Linked DNA regions of Elephas maximus indicus. The protein of the gene in region 1 interacts with the protein of each later gene in a pairwise test. Links are inferred from orthologs where the notes say so. Each region holds a gene or a part of one and is shown on either strand. Other genes may lie near its edges. The genes, in order: ABI2, NUP62, STAM2 and WIPF1.

The links.
Region 2: the proteins of ABI2 (region 1) and NUP62 interact in binary tests that used the Homo sapiens proteins (3 or more experiments, as listed by UniProt). The link is inferred for Elephas maximus indicus from reciprocal best matches to the Homo sapiens genes ABI2 and NUP62.
Region 3: the proteins of ABI2 (region 1) and STAM2 interact in binary tests that used the Homo sapiens proteins (3 or more experiments, as listed by UniProt). The link is inferred for Elephas maximus indicus from reciprocal best matches to the Homo sapiens genes ABI2 and STAM2.
Region 4: the proteins of ABI2 (region 1) and WIPF1 interact in binary tests that used the Homo sapiens proteins (3 or more experiments, as listed by UniProt). The link is inferred for Elephas maximus indicus from reciprocal best matches to the Homo sapiens genes ABI2 and WIPF1.

Annotation. Positions count from the first base shown.
Region 1 is NC_064824.1:101,915,896-101,922,944, reverse strand, and holds the start of ABI2 (abl interactor 2), read right to left. Parts: upstream 3,022-7,049; 5' UTR 2,787-3,021; coding exon 2,670-2,786; intron 1-2,669. UniProt on the Homo sapiens protein: Regulator of actin cytoskeleton dynamics underlying cell motility and adhesion. Functions as a component of the WAVE complex, which activates actin nucleating machinery Arp2/3 to drive lamellipodia formation.
Region 2 is NC_064829.1:100,371,302-100,379,110, reverse strand, and holds the start of NUP62 (nuclear pore glycoprotein p62), read left to right. Parts: upstream 1-4,793; 5' UTR 4,794-4,882; exon of another isoform or gene 4,883-4,902; intron 4,903-7,809. Other genes in the region: ATF5 (cyclic AMP-dependent transcription factor ATF-5), read right to left, coding at 1,670-2,322, 3,371-3,548. UniProt on the Homo sapiens protein: Essential component of the nuclear pore complex. The N-terminal is probably involved in nucleocytoplasmic transport.
Region 3 is NC_064824.1:49,378,240-49,385,077, reverse strand, and holds the start of STAM2 (signal transducing adapter molecule 2), read left to right. Parts: upstream 1-3,831; 5' UTR 3,832-4,183; coding exon 4,184-4,223; intron 4,224-6,838.
Region 4 is NC_064824.1:72,796,486-72,804,426, reverse strand, and holds the start of WIPF1 (WAS/WASL-interacting protein family member 1), read left to right. Parts: upstream 1-4,934; 5' UTR 4,935-5,102; intron 5,103-7,941. UniProt on the Homo sapiens protein: Plays a role in the reorganization of the actin cytoskeleton. Contributes with NCK1 and GRB2 in the recruitment and activation of WASL.

The DNA.
Region 1 (7,049 bases):
GCCAGCCAAATGTGCTGCTGGATCAGCACAAATTCACCGCAACATGTTCTATTTATCAACTATACGACAAACAAACCAAGTAAGAGCTGTCATTGTGAGAGAGGGCGTCAATAATATAGCTACTGAATCCTAAAACAGATGGTAATCTAAGAAGTAAAAGTGTAAAGTCTACTTCAAATGCTAAACTGTAGAAATTAGGGATTTTAAAAACCCAAATCCATTTCTATCACATCAATATTTATACACTGGGTTTAAAAACACCACCACACTAATTTTTGAGTCCTATTGCTAAGACAGATAATGGTGGCAGTAATGGTCCTCTTTTTCAGCTACAAAAAATATATAAAAAGAAGACAATCACTGATGCCTGTACCCTTTTGGCTTTATTAATCCATTTACTTTTATCTTTATGTAGCAATCGTAAGAGATACAAATCTGTTTCTTTTATTACTTACTGGTGATAACCACACCCAATCACTTTTCCATCCTCAATTTCTCTTTTGACTACAACTCTTTCCCATAATACGGAGCACAAGGCAATGCAATTAACACTTCAATCCTTTAGGTTTTGCCTTTCCTACAGATTGTGAATTTCTGAGACTAGCATAGCTTCTGCCAGTTTTTCTTTCCACCTGCAGTCTATTACAGAGTATAAATCACCAAATCAAAATGCAGCCCTGCTGGTGCAGTGGTTAAAAGCTATGGCTGCTAACCAAAACGTCAAAGTTCAAATCCACCAGCCGCTCCTTGGAAACCCTACTGGGCAATTCTACTCTGTCCCATTGGTTCACAGAACTACCCCAGCCGTCACAGACCTATATGGTATTAATTTGCTCACACATCAGCCTCTCCTAAAAACTAGACTATAAAACTCTGTAGGCACTAAGTATAAGACCCCTCGGTAGCACAAGCTGTTTGTGCTCCACTACTAACCTAAACATTGGTAGTCTGAGCCCACCCAATGGTGTTTCAAAAAAACTCCTGGTGATATGCTTCAGTAAAGATGATCGCCAAGAAAACCCTATGCAGCAGTTCTACCCTGTAATACATGAGGTCGTCGTAAGTGTGAACCAACTAGATGGCAAAGGATCTTTTTTAGGCACTCCGTGGGCACAGTGCTGAGCACAAAGACATTCAAATACATTTAGTGAAAAAATGAGAAACTAAACTTTTGAATCTCTCTGACCTCACTCAGTATCAGTGAAGTACCCTGCCAATACAGACATTTGTATTTTTTGTATTAATCTTTGACCCAAGACACAGCCTTCCTTTTCCAATTAGACATATTTTCAACTGCCTCGTTGGAGGGAAAAAGCTTGTATTATGCCTGGTTCATTCTCCAACAGAAATATTCCCTACAACATAAAACAAAGTTCAGTATATGTCTAATCAAGTAAAATCTCACACTACCACCATTAACCATACCCTCCTTACAAAACTTATGAACTTATATATTTTAACACTTGGGTTTGTTTTTTAATTTACTCTAAGACTTAAGAATGCTTCCCAGTATAGCTGATGTTAAGAAAGATGCCTGGAGAGATGGAGGTGGAAGCAAGAAAAAAAGGTCAGAGTGAAGAAACAATTTAACAGTTTCCATTTCCACCTTTATCCCAAGAGAATTTAAACGGGAAGGAAAAAAAAAATGGACGCAGAACCTGTAATTCAGAATAAATCATCAAGGAAACAAAAGATGCTGAATTTGCAAACTGTGCGTTTTATCCTGCTAGTCTTTCAAATAATTTTTAAAGGACTTTTTTTTTTCCCAAATCCAGAATCTTCTGCTTTATCCTGGAGCAGCTGGATCTCATCTCACCCAATAGCCACTCTCCTCCACCCCCCCATACACATACATACATACACACACATGCCACACACGCACCGTTACCACTATGAGTCCCTGTGCCAAACCAACAATCACGGGAATACTAAACCATGAGGTTCATTTTCCTAATTCTCTCTAAAAAAACAATCACAATCCTTTTTCTCTCAGGAAAATTACCAATCTAACGGGACGGGGGGGCGGGGGGGAGAGCAGCTCATTATCACGCAGCTTCCCTTTCCCATAAGGAGAAAAATGGCAATAATTTCCAACAAGAAACAACTGCTCTTCTACCGTATCCCCGTTAGACCTAAAGGGGGAAAATGGTCTTCTGAGGCATTCACATGAATAGAAAACCGAAGTATTTTACTTTGCAGCAACACAGCCCCTTAAAAATCCTCCAGTGCTTGAGGGTTGGGGGTGACCTATCATTCCCCTCCACAGCCTCCCTACGTGGGGGAGCAGAATTTTGGCAAATAGAAAATGCCACTCTCCGCCTCCCCTGCCATCCCGAACACAGACCGGCACCGAGTGCGGGGGCGGATGAGGGCAGGAGAAGCGAGGAGGCGGGGACACGACACACGCACCGCGCCGAGGACTGATTCACGGTTTTTAAAAATGTTTTAAAAGCCACAATCTCCTCCTGCCGAGGATTCCCACCCACTCTCCATCCCCTGTCCCAGTCTTCACCCTGCACCCCCCCGTCAGGGGCTCAGCCCGGCCAGCTCTCCCGCGGCGGCCTCCGCCCGCTCCCGACGACCCCGGGAACGCGGCCCCCTCCCAGGGGGTCCTCCGCACGCCCCTCACCGCCGAGGCCCGACGGCCCCGCCCGGGGGATGCGTCGCACCTGGATGTAGTTGTTCTCGCAGTAATCGGCCACCCGTTCCAGATTCGTGTAACTGTCGAAGAGGGCCCGGCGGCCCCCCGGGATTTCCTCCTCCAGCAGCATCTGCAGCTCCGCCATCTTCACATCCTCCTCTCACCTCATACAGACCGCAGAAGTGGCCGCGGCGGCAGCGCCAGGGAAACCCAAGGCTGGCAGCGGAGGAGCACAGGCGGCAGCGGCAACCCGCCGGAGCGAGAAACACCCCCCGCGCGCGACAGGGGAGGGGGCGGCGTGGACGGGGGCGGGGCGCGAGCCGACGGACCGCGAGAACGGTCACCGCGGCGACGGCCGGCCGGGCACGCGCACGCGCGCTCCCCTCCCTCCGCCCCCGGGAGCCCGAAAAAGATTCCCACCCTCGGCCGCACCGCCTGCCCCTCCCCCACTTCCGGCGTCTCCTAGCGACGGCGGGGTGGGGGCCGGGATACGCGCGGGAGCCGGGCGCGCGGTTAACCCTTCGGCCCCCCGCTAGTTCCGCTGCCGGGGAAGTCCGCTCGGACGCCTTTGTTAGCCGGTCAAGTAGGCGCTATCCTGCTCCGCTGTCATCCCGCCGGCGTCTTCCACGACTTTCGGCGTTATTCTCACCCTGGGGGCCGGATCCCTGTGCAGATCGAGGCTTTTCTCTGCTGCTGATTGAAGGGCGAGGAGTCCATCCTCCGCGAAAGATCACATCTTCTCAGGGCTGGGATCAAACTCACAAAACTTCCGTGCAGCTTTAAGTGCCGCCTCAGTTTTCATTTTTCTCTTCATCTTAAAGCTCATCCGTTTTGGTACGGATAAGTAAATTCCAGCTTCTTCATCCCAGATCTCCTGTACTCTCGGTTTTACTGCACTTACTTGACCACCAGAGCTGTCTTCCTTTGCCCGTCCCCTGGGGCTCAGCTTTTTTTTTTTTTTTTTTGCCCTAAGTAAAAGTTTACAATTCAAGTCAGTTTCTCCTACAAAAACTTATACGCACATTGCTGTGTGACCCTAGTTGCTCTCCCTACTGTGTGACAGCACACGGAGCTCAGCTTTTTGTGCTTGCCCTCTTCCATGGTTCTCTTCCTCACTGACAGCCTGTTCTGTCATCTCCCTGGTTCTGTGAACGTCGCTGTCTTTTTCTTCCAGAATTCAGTACTTCAAATTCTGAAAACGGTTTTGCTGGTACTAATTTTCTTCCTTACAGGGCTGTTACATGGATAAAATAAAAGTTTATGTGAAAGCACCTTGAAAAGCGAAGTGCTACAAAAATTGTAGATAATTTTGATTTTGCAGAGTTGTTACATCACTCTGTTCTTCTTCTCCAGGTATTCAACTTATATATATCTTTTTTTCCCTAAATCTAAGTAGCCTTCAGAATGTCATTCTTCAATAACTAAAACTCCTGACAACTGCTGAGATATTAAGTCTGTGACTTTTATTTGTACTGGGGAAAGTCAAGGTTGACTCCAGGTGTACCATTTTAGGCATTTGTAGTTTAGAACAGGATCCATTATTTCAGCTCTTGTTCTTGCTCTTTTGATCTCTTGGCCCTCCTACAGTCATTTTTCTTTCTCGTTGAACTGTAAGAAGCCCACAAAATCGAGACCAAACCCAGTGCCGTGGAGTGGATTCTGACTCATAGTGACCCTATAGGGCAGAGTAGAACTGCCCCATAGAGTTTCCAAGGAGCACCTGGCGGATTTGAACTGACGATCCTGGGGTTACCAGCTGTAGCACTTAACCACTACGCCACCAGGGTTTCCAAGAAGCCTACAAGGTGGGTTAAATTATAGGCAGACTTTTCCCTTACTACACTTATTCCCACCTAGCATCCTTTCAAATAAAAAAAAAAATTTTTTTAACTGATTATCAATTAGCCCAACAAACAGATTTCCCTGAGGGATGATTCATCACCCTGGGAATCACTGGGAGAGCAAGGCAGCCCACTCTAAGATTCTAACTCAGCAGCCCTACAAGGAGAGAGTAGAACTGCCCCATAGGGCTTCCAAGGAGCAGCTGGTGTATACTTCTTCTAATTTGTGACTTCTTTGAACCTTAGTTTTCTTAGCTGAAAAAAACAAACTCAGGTCAGTAGTTACCAAATTTGAGCATGCATAAGAATCACCTAGAAAGCTTGTTAAAACACAGATTGATGGGCTCCACCCCCAGAATTTCTGATCATTTGGCCTGGCCCAGTAATTTATATTTTTAACAAGTCCACTGGAAGTTCCTGCGTGGTGCAAATGGTTAAAGTACTCAGCTACTCAGTGAGAGGTTGGAGGTTCATATCCACCCAGAAAGGCCAACGATCTACTTCAAAAAAATCAGCCATTGAAAACCTCATGGGGCACAGTTCTTTGACATACGTGCAGTCACCATGAGTTAGAATTAGCTTGACAGCAGCTAGTATAAGTTCCCAGGTGATGCCAATGAACCCAGGAGATGCCAATGAAACTGCCCTTCTCCATCTGAAGGTCTATGATTCTAGTTGCTGGCAGCGGGGAATTTCCACCAAGAATGGAAATCAAATCTCCCACATAATCAGTTAGCAGCAGAGCTCATTAACCATTTGCACCATCCAGGAACTCATCTTTTCTCATTTAACTGGTTAAGTAACTATTTTTTGCTAACCACAAAGCTACTATTTAAAAACAAGCACTGCTAGGTTCAGGCTCAAAACAGGCCAAACAAAAATCAAATTATAGTATAACCATTATACACGGAATGACTTCCTCTGATCTTGGAAAACTCAGAATGTTCGTTTATTCATTCATCAAGTAAATTTAGCATGGATGCATTATGGAGAAAGGACCAGGAAAGTATTGCTAAAGGCAGACTCTAGGGGCAATCCTGGTAAGAAATGATGGTGATCTTCAGGGAGGGTGATGAAAGAAGTGGGTGGAATAAGAGAAATATTTGAGGTAAAATCATAAGGGGTTAGTGAATGATTCCATGTGGAAGCTAAAGGATAAATCCATGCTGGTAGACAGGTGTCTGGCTTGGGCAACTGAGTAGTTGGTAGTTCCATTTACATTTAAATTACATGATATTCCACAAAACTGTAAAAACTTTTTCCAGTTTACCTTCATTCTCTGTTTCAATCATTATCATCAATAACCCTGGCAAAAAGGACACTATTTTAGGTTCTGTGTTGCTATTGTACTACTCTTGCTAAGTTATTTAATTAATAAACAAAATCCATAAATTGTATATCGTTTTGGCCCTCTCAAGTACTAAAGACTAACAGTTGTAGAGAAAGAGAAAAAAAGCAGGTAACTTGCTTAATTCCTACTATGTGCCAGGATTAATTCAACATTTTACATAAATTAACTCTTAAATATTAAAAAGTAGGTTTTATTATCCCCATATTTTACAGTCCCAAAAAATGAGGATTAAAGGAGCCCTGGTGGTGCAGTGGTTAAGCACACGGCTGCTAACAGAAAGGTCAGCAGTTCAAACACACCAGCCGCTCCTTGGAAAAAAGATGGGGCAATCTGCTTCCGTAAAATTACAGCTTTGGAAATTCTTTGGGGCAGTTCTACACTGTCCTATAGGGTTGCTATGGGGCTGAATTGACTGAGGGCACAAAACAACAAAAGAAGTTAGAAATTTACCAAACCTGCTTAAAAGTCATGGAGTTAGCGGTTCCACACTGGTTTGATAATTTAAAACGTTTTTCTTTTGCATTGTAACATGACAAATCAAACTTCTCTTTATTTTAACTGTAAAGATCAAAGGCATACTTAGATACTTGAAGCCATTCATTATTTTTTTTCTTTTCTTTTTAGGGCTTAACAGAACCCATTTCTTCAATTGCTCCTCATCGTATATTATAGAATTATGGCATGTTCAAGTTGGAGGGTACCTTAGAAAAATCTAGGTCCTACCCCAACATTTTACCAATGAGGAAATATGAAACTCAGAAAAGTTAAGTGATTGCCTAAGGCTACATGGCTAGTAAATGGGAGAGTGGAACAAAGGAAGTTTTAGAAACAAATCTTATTTTAGAGCTCTTTCATGACATTTTAAAGTAATACACTCACAAACACAATGAAATTTAACACAATTCCTTTTTATGTAATTAAGTTCTCTGTTAGATATTACACAGTACTCAGGGGAAATGCAGAGTTTTCATTCAAACAATTGCATGATTAATTGAGTTCCCATTCTTACCCCAAATAAGAAAAATCATAATCAGTGATATTTTCATATTATTTGTACACATTTCTAGGTCCACGGGTGGTCCAAATCGTTTGCCCTTGGCTACTAACTGAAAGGTTGATGGTTCAAATCCACCCAGTGGCACCACAGAAGAAATGCCTGGTGATCTACTTTCATAACGTTACAGCCATTGAAAGCCCTATGGCGCTCAGTTCTGCT
Region 2 (7,809 bases), on another chromosome or scaffold:
AGCCAGCAGTGCAGCCTCTTTAAATCTCTGACCCCCCCCCACCTCCCTCTTTCCCTTATAAGGACCCTTGTGACTACATTAGCCCACCCAGATAATCTAGCATAATCTCCCCATCTCAAGATCCTTAATAACATCTGCAAAGTCCCTTTTCCCATGTAAGGTATTATATTCACAGGCTCCAGGAATTAGGATGTAGACATCTGTGGTTGGCTATTTTGGCTACCATATGTATAGTTTTTTATTTTTATTGCAAATATATGGATGCATTAGCAAAATATGGTATTGACTGCACCTTTGTTGACAAGTTGGTTGACTCGTTCTTTCGTTGGTTGGCTGGTTTGTTGGTTGTTTGGTTGACTAGCTCATCGATTAGTTGACTGACTGCTTCATTCATTGGCTAGTTTACTTACTGATTGATTGGTTGACTGCTTCACTGACTGATTTGTTGACAGGTTGATTGGTTGGTTGACAGTTTGATTGGTTATTTGGTTGGTTCTCTCAATTTCCATTACACACTCCATATATTAAGAAGGCTTAGAAAGCTAACCACGTGTGTTGTCCAGACTCTCTTGCAGCTAGAGCTCTACATGACAGTTAGGTCTTCTTGATGACAAGAGAATGGGAGGCTTTTAAGGAGGGGCTGCAAGCCCATCTCCAACTTACCTATTTCTCCCAAGAGGTCTGCATAAGAAAACTGGCTCCTCAGCAAGAGAGCATCCCACAACTCACATTGCAGCCATCAGCCCCTTTTGTTTTGGAGTCATCCTTTTTGTTGTATGAGACAAGGACTGAGGGAAGCTGGCACCTTTGGCTGTTCTTTCTTTCACTTTCTATCTAATTAATAAATTAGCTGAATCTAAAAAGAGGTTCATTGTATCAGCTGTGGATACAGCTACTCCCCAACTTCCCCTCTCAAAGATAAGACATGGAGACCAAGAGGAAAGTCATTTTATTTTTGTTCACAAACCCCCAAAGGATCACTCCCCGCCCTCCCTCACCTAGATGCAGCCCCATCCCCCAACACCTTCACAAAACACTGATTTCCTCCCAGAGCTAAAATTGAACACCCAGTCACCAACTATGGCCATTCCCCACCCTGCCCCTTCCTCCCCACTGCCTGTATATTCACCTGCTCTGTGAACTTGGCCACCTCTGGACTCTCTCCCCAAAAGTAGTTCTCCCCAAGGTCACTTGGCTTGGTTTTTTTGCTTTTTCTTGAAGCGCTCCCTGACTTACCTATCCAGAGTCCCTGTTCTCATTGGCATAGTAATTCTGCATAGCTTCCTGGCCCCACCTCTAGGTTCCAGCCAGGACCACTCCACCCCGCACCGAGAACAACTTGCAAGAAAGCACTGATTTGGGACTCAAGAGGCCCTATTTCCAAGCGCTGATCTGCTCCCTGAATTCCCTGTAGCTCTCAGTTCCTCAGCTGATACTTGAGGGATGGAGATGTTAACTAAGGCCAAACGTTCCAAAGTTCTGAGGATGGAGTAGGGGACCAAATTCAGAAATGGGCTAGAAAGGAGACAAGGATAAAAATAAAGGAGGGAAGGGTGTAGAATGAAGCTGGAGGTAGAGGGATGATGAAGGGGTCCCACCTCAGCCACAGAAACGGAAGTGACCCAGAGCTGAATACCAGTGCCCCCTACAGGCCAAAGCCCCTGCCCATCTAGCTGTTGCGTGTCCTCTGGCTTCGAGCCTTATACACTTCGATGAGCAGATCCTTGACGTACTGGATCTCCCGCTCCACCGACTCAGCCCTTTCCCTCAGCTCCCGGTTCCGAGCCTCCAGCCCCTGGCACTCGCCCTCCAGGGCCTCGCCCTCTGCCCGCTTCCTCTGGCGGTACCTCAGAGCTGCTGACTTGTTTTGGTCTCTCTTCTTCTGCTTGCGGTCCCCTCGGGTGGTGGCAGGGTTGGGGTACGGGGCTGGGCGAGAGGGCTGAGGTGGGGGAGGATGGGGCTGCTGTGGTGGGGGCAGGGGTGCCAACCCCACAGCATCCCCCTGCCCAGTCTCGCTGCGGCAGTAGATGGCCAGCAAGTCGAGGGTATCCAGGGCAGGGGGCTGGGGGAGGTCTAAGGTGGGGAGGGGGAGAGGAGGAACTTGTGGGGGTGGCGGAGGAGGGGAGGGTGGTGGGAGGAGTGGGGCATCAAGAAAGAAGTCTTCCATCTGCTCCAGCTCCTTCTTGAGGAGGGAGGCCATGGCTTCCAGATCAGGTGGGGGCGGGGAAGGTGGGGGAAGGGCACCAGGGGGAAAGGGAGGCTCCAGAGGAAGGAGGGCTGTGAAGTCAACCCGCTCAGTCATCCAGTCAGAGAAGCCGTCTCCTAGGGAATTGGAGAAGGGACATAAAGTTCCATCTGAGTTCCTGGTCCTCCATCCAATTGGGTACTCATTCATCCCATTCATTCAGTAAAACAACCAACCAATCAACAAATCATCAAACCAGTCAACAAGCCAACAAGTCAGTCAAGCAACCAATGAACAATCAGCCAACAATTTGACCAATCAACCAACCAACCAGTAAATCAATCAATGAGCCAGTAAACCAAGCCATCAACCAATCAGTGAAGCAGTCAACCAGTCAACCAAACCACCTGTAGACCAGCCAGACAACCATCCCACAAACCAGTCAACCAACCAATGAATCAGTCAGTCAGCCAACTAATCAATCAACCAGTCAAACAGCCAAAAAACCAGTCAGCCAACAAAAGAACCAATCTGCCAACCAGTCACCCAACCATCCATCAACCAACCTTTTCTTCAACCAATCCAACATCCTCTTTACTTTTTTCTACGGTTCCTCTAATCTACTCTCTAGTTTGTCCTTAAAACACCAACTAGATGACATCACACACACATACACACACACCGTGCTTCAACTTTAATTCATTAATTACTGAAAACCTACAATGTGTCAAGCATTTGGGATATAGTAATGACTAAAACAATTCCTGTCTCAGGGTCTCTGCATATGCTGTTCCTTCACCTGAAATGCTCTTCCCTTGGGCCTTTTGATAGCTCGTTCCTTCCCATTCTTCAGGCCACAGCTTAATGTTACCTTCTTGGACAAGGTATCCTGGCTACCCACTCTAAAACTAGGTCCCCTTTGATATTTTCTAGCTCAGTCACTAAGTGCTTCCTACTTAGTCCCAATACATCTTCGTTTTACTTGACTGTTGTCTGTCTCCCCACAAGAATGTGAGTTCTGGGAAGGCAGGAATCATGTCAGTCTTGTTCCTGGCTCTATCCTCAGCAGCTAAAACAGTGCCTGACGCATTGTATTTACAGAATCAATGAATAAATTAATTCTTCCTTCTCCCTCTCCCCCACTTCCCCCCAGCTCATCCACCTCCATTCTCCACCTGCCCTTACCTGCCAGGGGCTCTCCCCCCCCTGGAAGCCCGCCCTCCAGGGCTCCCCCAAGGACCTCATAGGGGCCCAGGGGGGCAGGGGCCAGGGGGAGTTTCCCATAGTCTACGAGCCAGCCCAGCCCGCTAGCTGGGAGCAGGGTCCTGTCCAGCTCCAGCCCCAGGGTCGCCAGGAGTGACATGGCTGCAAAAGAGGCGCTGGGCACGGATGGCAACGAAGGAGGCAGCACCAACAGCTGGGAGGTTGCTCAGATGGACTAAGGCAGGCACCAAGGCGAAACCGGAGGACCTACACGTTGGAGACAAAGGGAGCAGAGTCAGCAGCCAGACCGCCACCAGCCAAAGGCACCGGGAAGCCATACCCCCATTGCTAACAGGTTCCCCCCTCTCGGAATTCTAAACCCTGAGCCCCCCACACTCCCAAGGGAATTCTCCTTAGGCCTCTCCCATCCACCCCTTGACACTCTTCTTCATTAAAAAACCTGAATCCCAGGGGAATTTTCTTCTAGCCACGCCCCTTCCCCAAAAATGTTTCCTTTAGGCTCCGCCCCATCCCTAGATTCCATCTCAAATCAGTTCCCAGGGGAATTCCCCCATGTTTTGTTCCTTCATCAATGCTATGTGCTTAGACTCCACTCTTCGCTTAAATTTAGTAGTGAACCCCCACTCCCCGCCTGCCCCCGTGCCCTCCAAGCTCCACTCCTCCTGAGTCCCTATAGGCCCCGCCTTTCTCCAGACGAAACCCCTCCTCGCCTGGCCCCGCCCTTTCCCACAACGTGTTGGCCCGCCCCTCACGAAACCTGTGTTCCTCGCCCTAAGCCCCGCCTTCTTCCCTGTCAATCTAAACTAGGCCCCGCCCCAGCAGATGCCTGCTGAAAGCGAGTGAAGCTACGCTGTGCGCCACCGCAGTGTGGAGAAAGGAGGGCGGGGGAAAGGTTGTGGAAAATGTCTTCCACCCCCACCCTTCCACAAGTCGCCGTCTCCCCGAGGGCTAAAGCGCATGATCTGTCATCCAGGTGGTGTAAATTGTGTTCTCATGCATTCCCCCCCTCCCCGCCCTCTTGGGGGTCAGTGCGCATATGCGGCGGCGTACGCCCCGACCTTTCCGCACAATTACGGGCTCTGGTGGGCTGGTGCGCATGACCAACAGCGTACGGCTAGACTCGTTTCCGGGGGAGGGGGAGGGAACTCTGTGGGAGCTAGTGCGCGGCAGTAACCGCACGCGTTCCCTTAGCGTAAACAATCAGGAAGAACCCTGCCCCCCCACCTCGGACCGAGTGCGCATGCTCCGATGGGCGCCGACAGGCGCCCCCCCGCTTCTGCGCCTGCGCAACCAAGATTCCCCAATCACTTCTCCCTACCCAACCCCCGGTCAGGCCTTGAGGGCCGCGCGCAGCGAAAGGGCGGGAAAGGCGGTTGGAGAGGGAGGGGCGAGCGGTTACTCACTCCATGGCGGCAGAAAGGGGAGGCAGCGGAGGCCTCGGCTGAAGAAAGAAGGCAAGAGCGGATAGCGCAGGTGCGGTGAGCGCGGAGACGGGCCGGGGGGCACGGAGGGGTCGCGGCTACAGGGCCATGGCCAGGGCTACGCGGGCGGTGGCGGCGTCGCGCTAGTGTGAGGAAACCGTGATCTGAGGACGGGGAATGAGGCGGCCCCGGGGACTGGGGACAGATATACCGCAGGTGGCGCAGCACAGTCCGTCCGGATCCTTCCGCGCTCCGCCCCTGTGCGGCCCTAACCGGGAGGCGGGCCCGGAGCCCTCCTCCCTTTCACCCGGGGTTCGGACCCCCTCTTCCATCTCATCTGAGGATCGGATCCCCTCCTCCCTCTCACCCGGGCGTCCGGCGCCCTCCTGCTTCTGACCCGGGGGTAAGACCCCTCCCTCCCTCAGAACCGGGGGTCTAGTCTCCTCCTCTCTGTGATCTGGTGATCAGACTCGCTCGTGTTTCTGGGGATCGGGCCCTCTCCTGTCTGACTCTGGAGCCCGACCCCGGCCTCTCCTCCCTCAGACTCGCACGTGGTCATTTCTCTGTTCCCTTCCCCCCTTCATGAAAGAATTTCCTGCCAACCACACCCAAATCTCTCCGTCCATTCATCCCTCAGCTGCTGCCCGGGCCTGAAAAGCCTTGTAGGTTTGAGATCTTGCTTGAGTCAGAGTCAGATGGCCTTCGTTCAAGTCACAGAGCGGCCAGGGTGGCCTTGGGCAAATAACTGAAGTTTTCAGTGCCTCATGTGTCCATGTGGTAGGGTTGTTTGTCAGAGTTAAATAAGGTGATGTCTTCGAAACCCTAAGCACAGAACCGGGCTCATACTTGCCTGGTAAACGGTGCCTTGTTATTAAAAGGAACTCTGGTGCCCAGTCTCACCCCTTCTGGCAGAACCCCAGGCACTGGACCACCCAACACCTGTTAAGAGGTCATTTTTGTGTGTCTCAGTCCTCCCTGGTGTTCATTTCCAGCCATCCCCTCCCTCCCCTTCCCAAGTGGTAGATGCTCAGCCACTTCCAGGTGGAGGGATTCAGGCCTCATGGCCCCCTCTCCAGCTTTTTCTCTTTTCAACAGCCCCTGCCCACCTTCTTCAGCCCTCGTCAGCTAGTTCTTTCTCCTGCCCCTGCCCTTCTCCCGATGGTTTTACAGTTTTTTGTCTCAGCTGCCACTCAGCATCAGGGAACTGTCTTCCAGCCGGGGTCACTATAAGTCCGAATCCACTTGACGACATCGGGTTTCCTTTGGTTTTTACCCTTCCGTTCATTAAAAGAGAGGGCGCATCACCCCCAGCTGGCCCAGGTGGAGATGGCTCTTTGCTGTGCTGCAGAAGGTCCCTCTCTTTTCCACTCGTCGTTCATCCACATGGAGTTCAGTCTCATCCCTTTTGGGGCAGCTACAAAACAATCAAAACCCGGGGAAGGTGGGTTTTGAGGCTAGCTGGGCTAGCCTATCTTGAGATCTGACCACCTTCCGTTAGAGCCAGATTTGAGCACTAGCCCTGTAGTTCCTGGGATTCATAGGGGCTACGCTATTACTTAGGCAGTATAGGGCAGCACTTTAAGAGCTCAGACCCTGGAGCCAGATTGTCTGGGTTCAAACCCAGACTAGCCGTGTGGCCCTAATTTCCCCATGCCTTGACTTCCCTTGCGGTGGAACGTGGCCAATAATAGCATGTGCCTCTTAGGGCAATGAGGATTAAATGAATTAATCTCTGCCTGTCCTTTATAGTAGTGCTTGGCACATAGTGGCTGCTGCTCAGGGTTGTTACTATTACTGTTCTTGCTGTTAATACTGAGATGCATATGTTCTGTTTCCATTGCCAGCAGTGGATCCTTTCAGACCATAATGGCCTTAGAGCTTTGGTGTGAGGCTTAAGGATGGACTCCCCTCCATGTCTCAGTGTAGATATTTGAACAGTAGCAGGTGGCAGGGATTAGGGTTGACTGTCGGGCAGGCTGTTAGCCTGGGGAGGCCCTGTCCAGACTACCAGAAAAGGGAAGCCCCAACTCCAGCTGAAAACCTGCTGCTGGCAAGATTGAGCCCTGGCCCAGCCCTTTGGCACCTTCCCTGTTGAGGTCTATTTTCTCACTCTATCCCCCACCTACAGTCTTCTTCTGAGAAGGCCCTCTGGGTTATATATATGGAAACTAGGTAAATAAACTATTTTAGTAAAAGTTTAGATTTACCGAAAAGTTACAGAGAAAGTGTAGCGTTTCTGTGTACCCTACATTCAGTTTTCCCCGCTGTTAACAACTTACAAGAGGAAGGTACAGTTGTCACAGTGCTGGAACCAGCATTGACACATTACAACAAACTAAACGCCACACTTACCTGATTTCATTCCTTGTCCCTGCATGGCCTTGTTCTGTCCCAGGATCCCCTCCAAGGCACCACATCACACGTGGCTGCCTCTGGGCTGTAGCCACTGCTCAGACATTCCTTGGCTTTGATGATCTGGTCAGATTTGAAGAGGGCTGGTTGGCTGTTTTCTGGAATGCACTTCACTTTGGGTTTGTCTTGTGGTTAGACTGGGACTATGGATTTTTGAAAGACCCCTGGTAGCACAATGGTTGAGTGCTCAGCTGCTAACGAAAAGATTGGCAGTTCCAACCCACCAGCCATTCTGTTGGAGGAAAGACCCAGCAATCTACTCCTGTAAAGATTACAGCCTAGGAAACCCTATGGGACAGTTCTACTCTGTCCTGTAGGGTTGCTATGAGTCAGAATCAATTCTGTGGCACACAACAACATGGGTTTTTGAGAGGGCCCCCAGGTAGGGTATTTTTTAAATAACTGGTAATGGGAATCCTGTTACTAGTTTGTGGGGCACCTGCTGACTGGGAAGGAATTGGGGCAGGGACCATGGTGGCCGACATCCCAGCCTCCCATGCCGTTTTCTCTCTCTGGGCCTTATGTCCTTGTCTGGTAGAGTTGTTGGATTCCGCCCGATTCAGCCCT
Region 3 (6,838 bases), about 53 Mb from region 1:
GGTCAGAAAGCTCTGAAGGATATCATACGTGAAGAAAGCAAAAGGTCACTAAAAAGACAGGAAAGAAAAAAAAGACCAGAAAGAGTGTCAGAAGAGACTCTGAAACTTGCTCTTGAATGGAGAGTAGCTAAAGCCAAGTGGAAGAAACGATGAAGTAAAAGAGCTGAACAGAAGATTTCAAAGGGTAGACAAAAGGCAAAGTAAAATAATATAATCAAATGTGCAAAGACCTGGAGTTAGAAAACCAAAAGGGAAGAACACGCTCAGCATTTCTCAAGCTGAAAGAAGTGAGGAAAAATTTCAAGCCTCGAGTTGCAATACTTAAGAATTCTATGGGGAAAATATTGAATGACACAGGAAATATCAAAAGCAAACAGAAAGAATACACAGATCCCCTGTAGCAAAAAGAATTGGTCAATGTTCGACCATTTCAGGAGGTAGCATATGTTCAAGAATTGATGGTAGTCAAGGAAGAAGTCCAAGCTACACTGAAGGCACCGGCAAAAAACAAGGCTCCAGAAACTGATGGAATATCAATTGAGATGTTTCAACAAACAGATGCAGCACTAGAGGTGTCCACTGGTCTATGCCAAGAAATTTTGAACATAGCTATCCGGCCAAACAACTGGAAGAGATCCACATTTGCTCCCATTCCAAAGGAAGGTGATCCAACAGAAGGCAGAAAATATCGCACAATATTTAATATCACGGGCAAGTACAATTTTGCTGAAGATAATTAAAAAACGGTTGCAGCAATACATCCACAGGGAACTGCCAGAAATTCAGGCTGGATTCAGAAGAGGTGTAAAATGAGGAATATCATTGCTGAAGTCAGATGGATTCCAGCTGAAAGCAGACCATACCAGAAAGATGTTTACCAAGGTTTTATTGACTATGCAAAGGCACTCAAATGTGGATCATAACAAGTTATGGATAACATTGTGACGAACCGGAATTCCAGAACACTTAGTTGTTCTCATGAGAAACTGTGCATAGATCAAGAGGCAGTTGTTTGAACAGAACAAAGGGATACTGCATGTTTTAAAGCCAGGAAAGGTGCATGTCAGGGCTGTGCAAATATTCCAAGAAACTGGACTACTATATGAAGAACTTGGCACCAGGACTGGAGGAAGACTCGTTAACAGCCTATCATACGTAGATGACTCAACCTTGCTTGCTGAAAGCAAAGACAATTTGAGAAGCACTTACTGAGGAACATCAAAGGCTATAGTTTTCAGTATGGATCCACACCTGAACATAAAACAAAAATCCTCACAACTGGACCAATAAGCAGCACCATGACAAACAGAGAAAATATTGAAGTTGTCAAGAATTTCATTTTACTTGGATCCACAATCAATGCCCATGGAAGCAGCAGTCAAGAAATCAAATGACACATTACATTGGGCAAATCTGCTGCAAAAGACCTCTTTAATGTGCTAAAAAGCAAAGATGTCACTTTGAAGGCTGTCATGGATTGAACCGTGTCCTCCAAAAATATCTGTCAACTTGGCTAGGTCATGATTTCCAGTATTATATGATTGTCTACCATTTTGTCATCTGATGTGATTTCGCTATGTGTTGTTATTCCTATGACTAAGATGTAATGAGATGGATTAGTGGCAGTTATATTGATGAGATCTACGAGATTAGATAGTGTCTTAAGCCAATCTCTTTTGAGATATAAAAGACAGAGGTGAGCAGAGACGGGGGACCTCATACAACCAAGGAAGCAGCACCAGGAGCAGAGCGTGTCCCTTGGACCTGAGGTTCCTGTGCAGAGAAGCTCCTAGACCAAGGGAAGAGTGATGACAGGGATCTTCTTCCAGAGCCTACAGAGAAAGTCTTCCCCTGGAGGTGATGCCCTGAATTTGGACTTGTAGCCTACCAGACTTTGAGAGAATAAATTTCTCTTTGTTAAAAACATCCACTTGTTTTTCTGTTAGAGCAGTACTAGATAACTAAGACAAGGACAAGCACCTGACCCCTTACAATCGCCTCATATTCATGCAAAAGTTGGACAACAAATATGAAAGACCAAAGAATTGATGCCTTTGAATTATGGTGTTAGCGAAAAATACTGAAGAATAATCAAATCTGTCTTGCAAAAAGTACAGCTAGAATGATTTTTAGAAGCGAGGATGTTGACACGTTGTCTCACATACTTTGGACATGTTATCAAGACGGACCAGTCCTTGGAGAAGGACATCATGCTTGGTAAAGTAGAGGGTCACTGAAAAGAGGAAGATCTTCAATGAGATGGACTGACATAATGGCTGCAACAATGGGCTCAAACACAGCAACGATTGTGAGGATGGCTCAAGACCAGGCAGTTTTTTGTTCTGTTGTTCATAAGGTTGCTATGAGGTATAAGTGGAGCACTGGCATTATTAAGCTCAACGGTAGCTGTTCTTTGTAGGTCGGGGTTGAGGGTTGAGTTGGCTGCTACTTAGCTGCATGATAAGGTACCAGAATCACAGAGGCTGGGTGGCAAAACTACCATCAGAGGCAAAATGGACATAACAGTAAGTTACAGCAAAGCCTGAATGGCAACTAGGGGGCCCTGACCCGTAAGAGTCTATGGATGATTAATAAGCCACAGTGTTCCTGATGTTAAATAGACAGCAGCCAGTGTGGGTATTGCTTGATGATTACCTCCTCCCACAACCCAACAAGGGAAAAAATAAAGACAAGAATGGGTGCCATATGTTAACTGCCACAATGGAAAATACAAAATTTCTTAGCCACCCAAACCTGAGCTAGCTCTCTGACCCAGGGCCCAATATTTGAACAGGAGGCTGGATCCCCTTGAGAAAAAATCCTGTAATGCCACAGCAAGTATAAATCAAATAAAATCCATTGCCATCCAGGGGATTCTGACTCCTAGTGACCCTGTAGGACAGGGCAGAACTGCCCCACAGGGTTTCCAAGGAGCAGCTGGTGGATTTGAACTACCGTCCTTTTGGTTAGCAGCCCGGCTCTTAACCACTGCACCATCAGGGCGCCCCAGCTACTATATTCCTCCAATCCTTTCCAAAAGGTATCCGCCGACATTTATCAGATTACCTGTACAACGGGGAATGGAAACTAACCAGAACGGGTGCTTGTACTTCTACATTCATTTAAATACCTGGTTGGCTCCTAAAGGAAATTTCAGTGTGACCCTTTCTTTTATCTATCAGGATCGTCATATATTGTCATATAGTAACTGTCAGCAACTCGAAGGCAGGGATTGTGCCGCATTTCGTTTTGGTAGTGCCAGAGCTGAGCACAGTGTTTTCATGCTGAGAACATGACGTAAAGTGAAGTTAGGAGTCCCCACAGAACCACAGTTATTTCGATTCCCGTGGCGGTTATTACGGCAGGGTTCAGGCGCAGAGTGAGATGCAACGCTGTAAGAGGCCGAGAGCAAGCCAGGCCCTCCGCAGAATCTCAAAGCTACCTCTTTGCTGGCGGCTCCATTTGGAAAGCAGCGCAAACGCAGCCATGGGGCCACCGCCGTGAGGGACTAATCCCGCCGCCCAGGAACGAACTAAACTAAACGGACCCCCCAAACCAAACCCACAATCTTACAGAAGCAGACTGCCACATTTTTCTACCGTAGAGTGGCTGATGGGTTCAAATCGCCAACCTTTCGGTCAGCAACCGAACTCTTAAGCACTGAATCACCAGGCCTCAAACTAAGGTAAGGAACGCGGTTTTCAGAGCCTGATTCCCGCGCAGAAAATCTCGGGGGATCTCGCCCCCTGCCGCGCCGCCGCCGGAACTGCAGCTTCCGGGCCTCTGGCATCGCCCAGTTCCAGGAGAGACAACTTCCGGCCCTGAAGGTCCCCCGCTCCGTGGCTCGCCCGGGTCCTAACTATGGAGGGGTGGCTATGGCGACCGCCTGACCCCTAGGAAACCGTAAATCAGGAGTTGCCATTTCTCATGGTGGGTGGCGACAACAGGGGCACTGAAAAGATGCCTGCGGCCAGCGGCGCCTCACCTCAGGAGGGGATCCCGGCGCCAAGTGCGGAAGAGCAGCAGGTCTGTCAGGCGGGAGCAGGGCAGGTGTGGTGGCGGAAGTGCTGGGACGGCGGCCCCAGCGGAGCAGTCTAGGAAGCCGCGGCCCCGGGTCAGCGAGCGGGGAGCCCCTGCCAAGCTTCAGCTGGACCGTTGCGGCTAGCGCTCGGGCGTCGGCGAGATGCCTCTGTTCACTGCCAACCCTTTCGAACAAGACGTGGGTGAGTGCTGGGCCCGGGCTTCGGACTGCAGTTTGTCCAGCTACAAAGTGGGCGGGGGCGACTCTAGGGACTGGGCAGACCAGCGAAGGGAGGTAAGGGGCGGCGCTGCCGCCGCCGCAGCCTCGGAGCCCGAGTTTTTTGGGGGGCAGCCTTGGCTCATCGCCAGCTGCCTGGGGCTTGTCCTCTGCCTACCTGAGTTTGCCCCCCTCCCCCTTCGCCGTCTAGTCGATTCCGACTCATAGCAATTCTACAGGACAGAGTAGAATTTCCTTATAGGGTTTCCAAGGAGCGACTGGTGGCTTCGAACTGCTGAGCTTTTGGTTAGCAGCCGAATGCTTAACCACTGCGCTACCAGGGCTCCAGCCTGAGGTTGAGGACCCCGAAAAAGAGCCGTTCCCCTCGCCAAGCGCAGGAATAAGGAAGAGTCACCGGTTGGCCGGAGGCGGGACTAATTAAGCAATTGTGGAGTGATGATACAAACTTCTTGCTTGCTCCAGACCTAGTGAAACCCCTATCTATTTCTCCCAACCCCTTCTTTTAAGGAGATGGTGCAACCATCGATAAGACAGCCCAACACTAGAGATCTCGACTTGCCCCCATTTATTAGGAAGAACTCACTTTGCTAATGTACAAATGGAGGCAAGCCCTGATAGGGCAGCTTCACGATTTATTTACAATTGCTGGAGGCGTTACTCCCTATTCTCCGATGATGTTGACGCAGGTGCTAGGAGATGTCTTGTCTTACAATCTGAAAAGGTAAATACCAATCTTAGGGTCTCAAAACGGTTCAAAACAACTGATACTTTATTTGTTCTGGTCGTAAGAACACTGGTCTTTTATTGACTTGGAATGAGAAAAAGATGGACTGGAAATAGGACCTTATCTTTGGTGTTACGGTAAGAATAAAAAAAAAGAATGGTAAAGAAAACATTTTGGGGGCAGTAGTTAAAAAAAAAAATTTTTTTTCTTAGTTAACAGAATGCTAGGTAGAGCTTTAGGTTTTGGTGAAATGAAAAAGTATGATAGAAAATGGCCCGAGTCACAGAATAAACACATCATAGCAGTAACCCACCTGCTTCATAGTCATAATTTCAAATTACGGGGAGACTGTTGAGAGTTCTCTAGTTTGGCATATGATGTGATCCCCAAACACATTCAAAAGTCAAATATATGAGATTCAAATAAGATGTGTAGGTCCCTTCTGTTCTGATAGAATTAAGAATATTTATAATTACACCTTGACCCTTAGATAATCTTCAAATATGCATTCCTGTATTTCATTCACCTTTTTTTCTTGAGATTTGAACACAGTTAGTTGACTGGTGCCAATCTAGGAAGCATAACGTTGAGGAGCACAGGCTCTGCATTTGGAACACCTGTACATTTTGTGAAACCTGTGCATTTTATTGCTATTGTAAGGATTTTCATTTTATCTTAATACAGCAGTGGAAAGGGCAAAATAGAGTTGAAAATTATTTTAAAACAAAAAGCTGTGGCGCTCTTTCCTAGAAGCTGATTGTTTTCTAATAGAAAACTTCTCTGGGAGAAGTAGCCTGAGGAGGTCTACCTGTTCCCCTTGTGGCTTCTGTGTCCCTGCATAGTTTAGTGGAACGCAGCTTAGTACTGGTGCGGTAACTGAGGTACTGCTGTCCGTATAAAAACCACTGCTGTTTTAATATATAGGTTATTTCGTGGAGAGTACCATCAACAAAAGCTCCAAGTGTTTGTTAGCGCAAGTATGACTGAATTCAGTATCTGAAAAAGCAAGTTTGATTGAGGCTTCACCTATAACTTCTTTTAGACAAAAAAGAATGGAATTAATAGAAAAAGTGGAATGAAATACTAAGATGTTCAAACTGGCCTCAAGCGTTTTTCATAGAAGAGAAATATGTTACATTTTTCAGATCTTCAGGCTTCTTTTAATTTGGAATAGTTGTAATTAAAGCAAGTCATTATTTGACCTGAGTGTTGTTTTACAGTGTACTTATTTTTTCATCTCTCTGATTCAGTCAGATTTTTTTTTTTTATCACCTTTGTGTTTTTTTTTTTTTTTTTGCTATACCTTTTTCACTGTTCATTCAGCAAACGTGTGTTGAATGATTACTGTGCATCAGGCATCGTGTTGAGTTCTGGGGTCACAAAAATAAGTGACTAGACTGAGTCCTGCCCTCAAGGAACTCACAGTCTAACATATACCTCCCCCTAAAAAAGAGTTAAAGGTAATCTTAATATATTCTGTTAAGTATAGTATTAGAAATGCACTGAAATGCTTTAAATTCTCCCTTTATTTAAAAAGGTCCTCCTCCTTGAAGGGAAGACAAGAACCTTCAGGTAGGAGCTTTCCCTATAAAGGTGTTTGACACTATCCCTGTGCCCCCTTTCTTGACAGCGCCTGCAGGAAGCAGCTGCTTCTTGCTATATGTATGGTATGGTTGTTTATAGTTAAGGGCTTTAAAGGTGACACTGCATGCCTTTGGTAGGCGCAGAGTCTTACCTGGAGAGTGAGCAGTCTTTTCTGACATTATTTGTGTGGGTAAGAGATGCTTTTCCCAGACCCTGAACTGAAACTTATCTCTTGGTCTGGGCAGTGATGGGCCAAGATGTCTAGGAGGTCA
Region 4 (7,941 bases), about 29 Mb from region 1:
AACTCTATGGGGTTCTACTCTCCCGTATAGGGTTGCTGTGAGTCAGAATAGACTCGACGGCACACAACAAAGCTGCGCCAGGATTCCTGAGCCACAGAAACAATGAGCTAATAAATGTGTGGTTTTAAGCCACAAATTTTGGAATTATTTGTTACATTACACAGTGTCTTAGTTTCCTTGTGCTGCTGTAACAAAAATACCACAAGTGGGTGGCTTTAAAGAACAGAAATTTATTATCTCATGGGCCTGGGGGCTAGAAGTCCAAATGAAGGTAAAGGACGTGTTGATTCCTTCTGAGGCCCTGAAAGAGCAACTGTTCTACCTATATCTCTCTCCTGGCTTCTCGCCTGATAAGAAAACCAAACCCATGCTGTTGATTCTGACTCATAGTGACCCTATAGGACAGGGAAGAATTGCCACATAGGGTTTCTGAGACTGTAAAACTTTATGGAAGCAAACTGCCATGTCTTTCTCCCATGGAGTAGATGGTGGGTTCAAACTGCTGAACTTTCGGTTCGTAGCTGAGTGCTTAACCACTGCGACACCAGGTCTAGCCCATCCAGTGCCCTCAAGTCGATAGCAGCTGTCTGCAATCCTTGGTGTTCCTAGGCGTGTAGATTCATCTGCCTCCATCGTCACATGGCCACCCTCTTCTGTGTATTGTTGGGGAAAATAATTAAAAACAAAATCTGCTCCCAAACCAGAAAACCTCTCCACAAAAGCAGAAGAGAAAGAAAACAGTTTTCTTATTGCATAAACCCTAAACCAGAACACAGTGGCAGTCTGCTAAAGAGATTGCAAAGACAGAAAGGAACCTGAACCTTATATAGGCAAGCAGATGCAACCCATTACATACGTGCTCTCCAGATAAAGGATAAGAAGCTTGACAACACCGTTTATCTCAGATTCACCTGGTTATAAGGGTAGCCACCAGCGTTTGTTAATGGCCAAAGGAAAAATAAGCTGTTGATATCTTTATAACAGAAGGTAGTTTTAGAGCTTGAAGCCCACCAAAGTTAGGCTTTTACCCTCCCACAGAACTTGAGGGCCAGAGGAGCTACTTCCTTACTAATTACATTTGAAAAAGATGGCTCCCAGCTCCCTCAGGAAACATCCCGGGGTTGTAAAACTGGCAGGAAGATTATCTAGCCATTCAGGAGGACTTCTCAAGAGGCAAAGAATTTACAACTACAAGACATCTAAAGTAAATGCTCAAAAAAACAGGGAAGGGGAGGTCTTGTCTTTTTTGCATCAGGGAATATTATGTATACTTATTTTTTTCTCTTCAATTTGCATTTACCCTTATAGTATCTCTCTGTGTCTGCTCTGCTGTTTTCATAAGACACCATTCAAAGGAGATTAGGATTCAGAATCCTACTCCCGTGTGACCACCTATTTCCAAATAGGGTTATATTCACAGGTACAGGAGTCTGGTCTTCAACATATCTTTTGGGGGGGAGGACACAATTCTATCCATAACACATGGCAACAGATAACTAACGCAAGGAGGTACTATTACAATCCTCATTTTGCAGATGCAGAAACTAAGGCTTAGCTACCTGTCCAGGTCACACAGTTAAGAAATGAAAAAGCCAGGATTGGTAGCCAGGTGACATGACTGAGAGCCCATGTGTTTAAGCACTACACTCATAGCCTCCTGATGAAACTGTCTACGAAGAGAGTTTAATTATTTACAAGAATTAGGTATTTAATCCTCATACACTGTCATTGGAAGTATAACTTGGTACTGACATTTTGGACAGCAACTTGGTAATATCTATCAAAAGGCGCAAACCCTTTTACCTTGCAATTTTACTTCTAGAATACTTATTTATAGAAGTACATAGATGCACAGAGATTTATGAGAATGAATGATTATTGTGCATTTTTTTAAAGGCAAATAACTGGAAGTAACACATACGCCTGCTAATAGGGGATTTGGTTAAATCATGATACACCATGCAGTGAAATAATATGTACCTATTAAAAAGAATGAGGTAGATACATATTTAGGGAAGTAGGAAGATAAATATTGATATCTGTAATAGGCAGACTTCTAAGATGGCTCCAAGATTCCTGATCCCTGGTTTATGCACACTTATCTCGGGTGATCCCCTCGCCGTCAAGTCAATTCGGACTCATAGCAACTCTATAGGTATGTAGGGTTGCTATGAATCAGAATTGACTTGATGGCAATGAGTTTGGTTTTTGAAACCCTGGTGACATAGTGGTTAAGAGCTACAGCTGCTAACCAAGAAGGTCGGCAGTTTGAATCCACCAGGCACTCCTTGGAAACTCTATGGGGCAGTTCTACTCTGTCCTACAAGGATGCTATGAGTCAGAATCGACTCAATGGCAACAGGCCTTTTTTTTTTCCTCTCAGGTACTCACTCAAATACTAATCTAGGTGCTGCTATGAAGGGACTTTGCTGATGTAATTAAGTGCCCATGGAGTCCCTAGGTGGTGCAAACAGTTAAGCACTTGACTACTAGCCAAAAGATTGGTGGTTTGAATCCACCCTGATGTCAGGCTGATACCTCATGGTGAGTCTTTCTGGCCTGGCCAATCCCTACCCAAGAGTCACCTCACTAGCATAAACTCTCAGGTGTAATCTGTAGCCTTACAGATAAAAGAAACTTCAATCACTGGGAAGATTCCAAGGTTTTATAGATTATCTTTAGGGACCAACCGCAAAGAACAAATTCTTTAAGTAAACTTAATTTCCTTAACCCACGGCAATGATTTAAAATAATGGACAATTCAGAACACCATTTATTTTTGGCTTTTGATAATGAAATTATGGGGGAGGAGCATGTATTTTACCTTCCTCATTTTCTTCTACGTACACTAATACAAAAACTCATAATATGGATCCCTGAAAGGCATAAACCCAAGAGAGTTCTTGACCCAACAAATGTTTAATCAATCTGTTAAAAAGTGCCAGTAGCTTGGCTGGACATTGGAAAATCAAAGATAAACAAAGACCCCTGTTCGACTTGTGTGCCACTACTCTGCTCATTTTTGGAAGAATTATCCCATTTAATCCTTACAACAATCCTAGGAGGTAGAACTACCGTCTCTATTTTACTGGAGCAGAAATTGAGGTTTAGAGAGTATCTTAGTCATCTAGTGCTGCTCTAATAGATACACCACAAATGGATGTCTTTAACAAAGGGAAATTTATTCTCTCACTGTCCAGTAGGCTACAAGTCCAAATTCAGGTCATCAGCTCCAGGGGAAGGCTTTCTCTCTGTCAGCTCTGGAGGAAGGTCCTTGTCATCAATGTTCCCTTGGTCTGGGAGCATCTCAGTGCAGGAACCTCAGGTCCAAAGGACGTGTTCTGCTCCTGGCATGGGTATGAGGTCCCCATGTGTCTCTGCTTACTTTTCTCTCTTATATCTCAAAAGAGAATGGCTTAAGACACTATCTAATCCTGCATATCTCATCAATATAACTGCCACTAATCCATTTTATTACATCATAGTGACAGGATTTACAACACATAGGAAAATCACATCAGATGATAAAATGGTAGACAATCATGGAATCATACAAGGGAATCAAGACCTAGCACAGTTGACAGATATTTTGGGGGGACACAATTCAATCCATGTCAGAGAGCTAGAAGGGAAACCAGGCAGCTCCTGGGCTTAACTTGCAGGCCACACTGTGATTAAGTGCCACTGATTTATTTTCAAATCTGGAACTCTTGATATATTGATATTTGGAATCACTTGCCTTCTTTTTATATAAAACATAATAGGTGTATGTTACCTTAGAAATGGTATAAAAAGAAAGGCAAATATATAATGAATCTTAAAATGATGGGCACATTTAGGGAAAAAATCTGTCATGGGAAGAGTTTAGCCATGTTATTAAATCTTCCCAGAAGGGTTACTGTATCTGTTAAAAGCATGTGCAGATACAAGTGTGCACATGGGACTAGTGAGGGAGCAGAGAAAGCATGGAGTCAAGGAGAAACAACCTCCTCAGCCTAGGATAGCAGGTCTCAAGTGCAGATATCCCTGCCTTTTCTGCTTTTATTCAAGGGGATACACAGCCTTGGCATTTTAACTATATGATTAAATGGTTATTATATTGATAATAACTTTTTGTTGTCCTTCTAATGCACACATTCTACTGTGTCGTCGTCTTAGTGTTAACTTCTCTTTGGGGTCTGGGGGTGGCAGCCTTCACGGCCAGTCAGAGTCTTGTAAGTATGGGTTTGCAAGATCTGGCCTCAGATTTCTCTGTTTACTGTTGATCACAGGAAGGTCATATTTGAGGATGTGGGTGGCTGATGATAAATCCAGCCCCACTAACTGCAAAACGACTGAAAGATTCCCCTTCAGATAGGCGGATCTTTCCAAAGAAAAAATAGCACTATGTCCCCACATAGTTGAGGGGAGGAGATGCCTGTGGACCTTGGGCCTCTTTGGGTGCCACGCCTGTGACCCACCAGAGGGGGAGGGCAGGAAGGAACAGCTTTTACACCATTTTTAAAAAGAAGTTTAAGATGTCTCAAAACTGGACCCTCTCTTTTGTGAACAGGGGAAGGTGATGGGAAAAGCTTTCCCTGCAGGTGGGGGAAGAGGGACCCCCAGCAGCAGCGGAAGCTCAGAGATGAGGCCGGTATTTGGAGAAAAGGGCACCGTGATCGGACTCTCCTTCCCGGTCTCGCTTCTCGGCAAACCCTTGTCCCGGACCCCACAGTCTCGTCCCTTCACCGAGCAGGAAAGGGGGCTGGGGAAAGCAAGAGCCCTGGCCTCCTACCCACCCGTTCCCGCCACGATCCTGTGGGAACCGAGGCTGCGGACGCAGAGCCTCAGCACCAGGCCGGGAGGGGGTCCGCCCCCAGCACAAGGCCAAGGCCCGCGGCGGCGGCCTCGCGCGCGTCCACATGTGGCAGGCCCGCCGGGGGGTGGCGGGGAGCCGAGGGGGAGGGTTTACTTCACGGCGAAGTTCCCGGATGGTCGCAGCCTCCGGGCGCTGAGCGCTTTTCCTCCCGCCTGGCTCAGCCCTCGCGGACCGGGGGAGAGGTTTCCCGGAAAAAATGCCCGGCGCGCTGCGGGGCAGGGGAGCCGCCCGGAGCCGCTGCGCGGTAAGGACGCGCCGCCACCGCCGGGGGCGGGGTTCCGGGGTCTCGGATAGCCCCAGGGGGACCCCGCGGCCGCCGGGGCGGGCCGGCTCGACGGCGGGGCTCTGTAGCGCCGTGCGGCACGCAGTGGCGCGGGGCGGGGGCGCGGGCCGTCGAGGCGGGGTCCCTGCGGGCGGCGGGCGCACGGGGCCCGCTCAGTCTCCCGGCCTCGGGAGGGAGGGGCGCCATTCCCGGCCGGCGCCTCCTGCAGGCCCGGCGGGTTGTCCGGGGAGGAGGGCTCCAGACGTGGTACCGCGGGCGGGGCGCCCCCTGAGCCCGCGGACCTCGGCCGCAGCAGTTACTTAGCCGGGATGCGCAGGACCCGCATCTGCACCCCGCCCGGGCGGGCGGGGACTTTCGGGCGTCCCCGGGGCCAGTTCACGCGCTGGAGCCGTCGTCCTCGCGGTGGGAATCGCGGCTTCTCGGCGCTCGGCTCCCAAACTGGCCTCCCGCCGGGTGCTCTGGGACAGCCGGCTCCGCGGGTCGGCGCAGACGCGCACCATCTATGTGTCGGTTGACTGGAGGCGCTTCCAGTTCCTGGCATAGTTTTCGCCAGGCCTGTGCCGAACCCTCGGGACAGCTTCACCTCAGTCTCGCTCCCGTACCTCTCGATATTAACATCCTTTTCTTCTTCCTTTTTTTTTTTTTTTTTAAATAACAGTTAAAAAGAGTTGCAGGTTTAAGAGAAACCAGCTAGCCTCGGTCGGGGGTAGACTTTGAACTCTTTGAGATTAACAAAGGGTGTGTCTGTGTGAGGAATTTTTGGTCCTACTTTTTATTCCATGAATAGTCCCTCTGGGACCACGGGCTCATTGCCCTGAGTTCCCTGGGAAGCCTCTCGAGTTGTCAGCAGTGACTGGGTGGACTTGGGTCTCTTTTTCTGAAAGCGCGTCTCAGTTCGCCCGCCCCCCCCCATCCCACCCCCGGATCTTCACTGGACGCCTCATCCTCAGACTCAGGCTAGTGGCAGCTGCAGAGCCAGGACAGATTCCCCACCCTGACTGGGTTTTCTTTTACCGGTTTCCCAAACCAGAAAACAATACTGTAGCTTCATTTTCAGTCGTTGGCTTTTTTTTTTTTTTTTTGCCCACCTCGAAAGCACCCATTTCTATAACGGATAAAATAACTCCCTAAAAATTTCCTATTTCACTTCGTAAATCTTTTTTTTAAACGGATTTAAAAAATTGTGGTAAATTTTACATAACATTAAATTAACTATTTTAAAATGTACAAATCAGTGGCATTTAATACTCTCACAATGTCGTGCTAAAAAAAAAAAAAATGTTGTGCTACCATTTTGGAAATCACCCTTTGACTTTTTGAGGTGAGAGAACCCTGAGCAGGCTATCAGCACCTTGCATCTTAATCCCTCCTTACGCTGCCTCCCACTGTTGCCGTGTATTTGCCTGCCTGTCATCCCCACAAGGTTGAGTTTCTCAGGGACGGGGTGTGATGTTATTCTCCAAATCCCCAGCTACCTCTGTGTTATATGTTGAATGGAAGTGTGCAGAGTAGAACCTGCAGGTGTTAGTAAAAATTGTCTTCCTCCCCTGGATCTACCCAACCCCTGCCATAATAATTTTGGCTCCCGGAGAAGCACACGAACTTTCAGACTGTGATATAGAGGAAAGAAATTTGTAAGCAAAGTACAGATCTAATCCTGGGACGTTTAGAGAGAATGAGATCACTTCCAGCTTGGTGTGGGGATGGGGGGGATTGATGTCTTCTTTCACTTGTTTGTTCATTTCACAAATTGTCTCCTGTGTGCTCAACCATTCCCTGGTGCTCCTAGGCATATCATGCAAGTTGAGCCTCAATTATCTCTTCCAAAAAGTGGGGTTGATAACCTTTGCTCTTCCTCCATTAAAGGGTGTGAGGAACAAATGAGATAATGGGTGTAAAACAGCAAAAAGTGCCAGCACGAGGCCACCCAGACACCATACAGTGTGGGGCACCAAGACTTAAGAGTGTTAATGAGCTAAAAGGTGGTGGGAGTGAAGAGAAGGTGGTATTTATTGTCTCAGTTGCTCTGGTAAGGGACGAACCCATTTTTGTGGGCAGTATTACATACTGGGTTTGTGTCACTGTCTTTGGTGTTCCAAGGTGTTCCTGGCTGTTGTAATTTTAGGTACATATGTGGTGTTCTGGGTTGAATTGTGTCCCCCCAAAACATGTGCTGTAAATCCTAACCTCTATGCCTATGGTTGTAATCCCATTTGGGAATGGGTTGTCTTTGTTATGTTAACAAGGCAGGATTGGTGTAGAGCGTGTTTTGAGTCAATCTCTTTTGAGATATAAAAGAGATTAAACAAGCAAGGGAAAGAAGTGGAGACGGGAGAAGAGATGCCAAACCACATGAAGATTGCCCAGGAGCAGAAGCTCAGAAGAGACAAGGACCTTCCTCCAGAGCTGACAGAGAAGAGCAAGCCTTCCCCTAGAGCTGGTGCCCTAAATTCAGACTTCTAGTCTTCAAAACTGTGAGAAGATAAATTTTTGTTTGTTAAAGCCACTCACTTGTGGTATTTCTGTTACAGCAGCACTAGGTAACTAAGACATGTGGCATCTACAGTGCACATCAGAAAGTTAATAATAAACAAAAGTGCATTTTATTTCTTGTGATTATCAGTTGCCATTTTTTTTTTTTTTATTGAGTCAGCCCTGAATCATGGTGACCCCATGCAGAACAGAACAGAACTGCCTGGTCCTGCCCCATCCTCATGATTGGTTGTAGATCAGACCATCGTGGTCCATAGGGTTTTCACTGTCTAATTTTTGGGAGTAGACCCCAGGCCTTTCTTCCTAG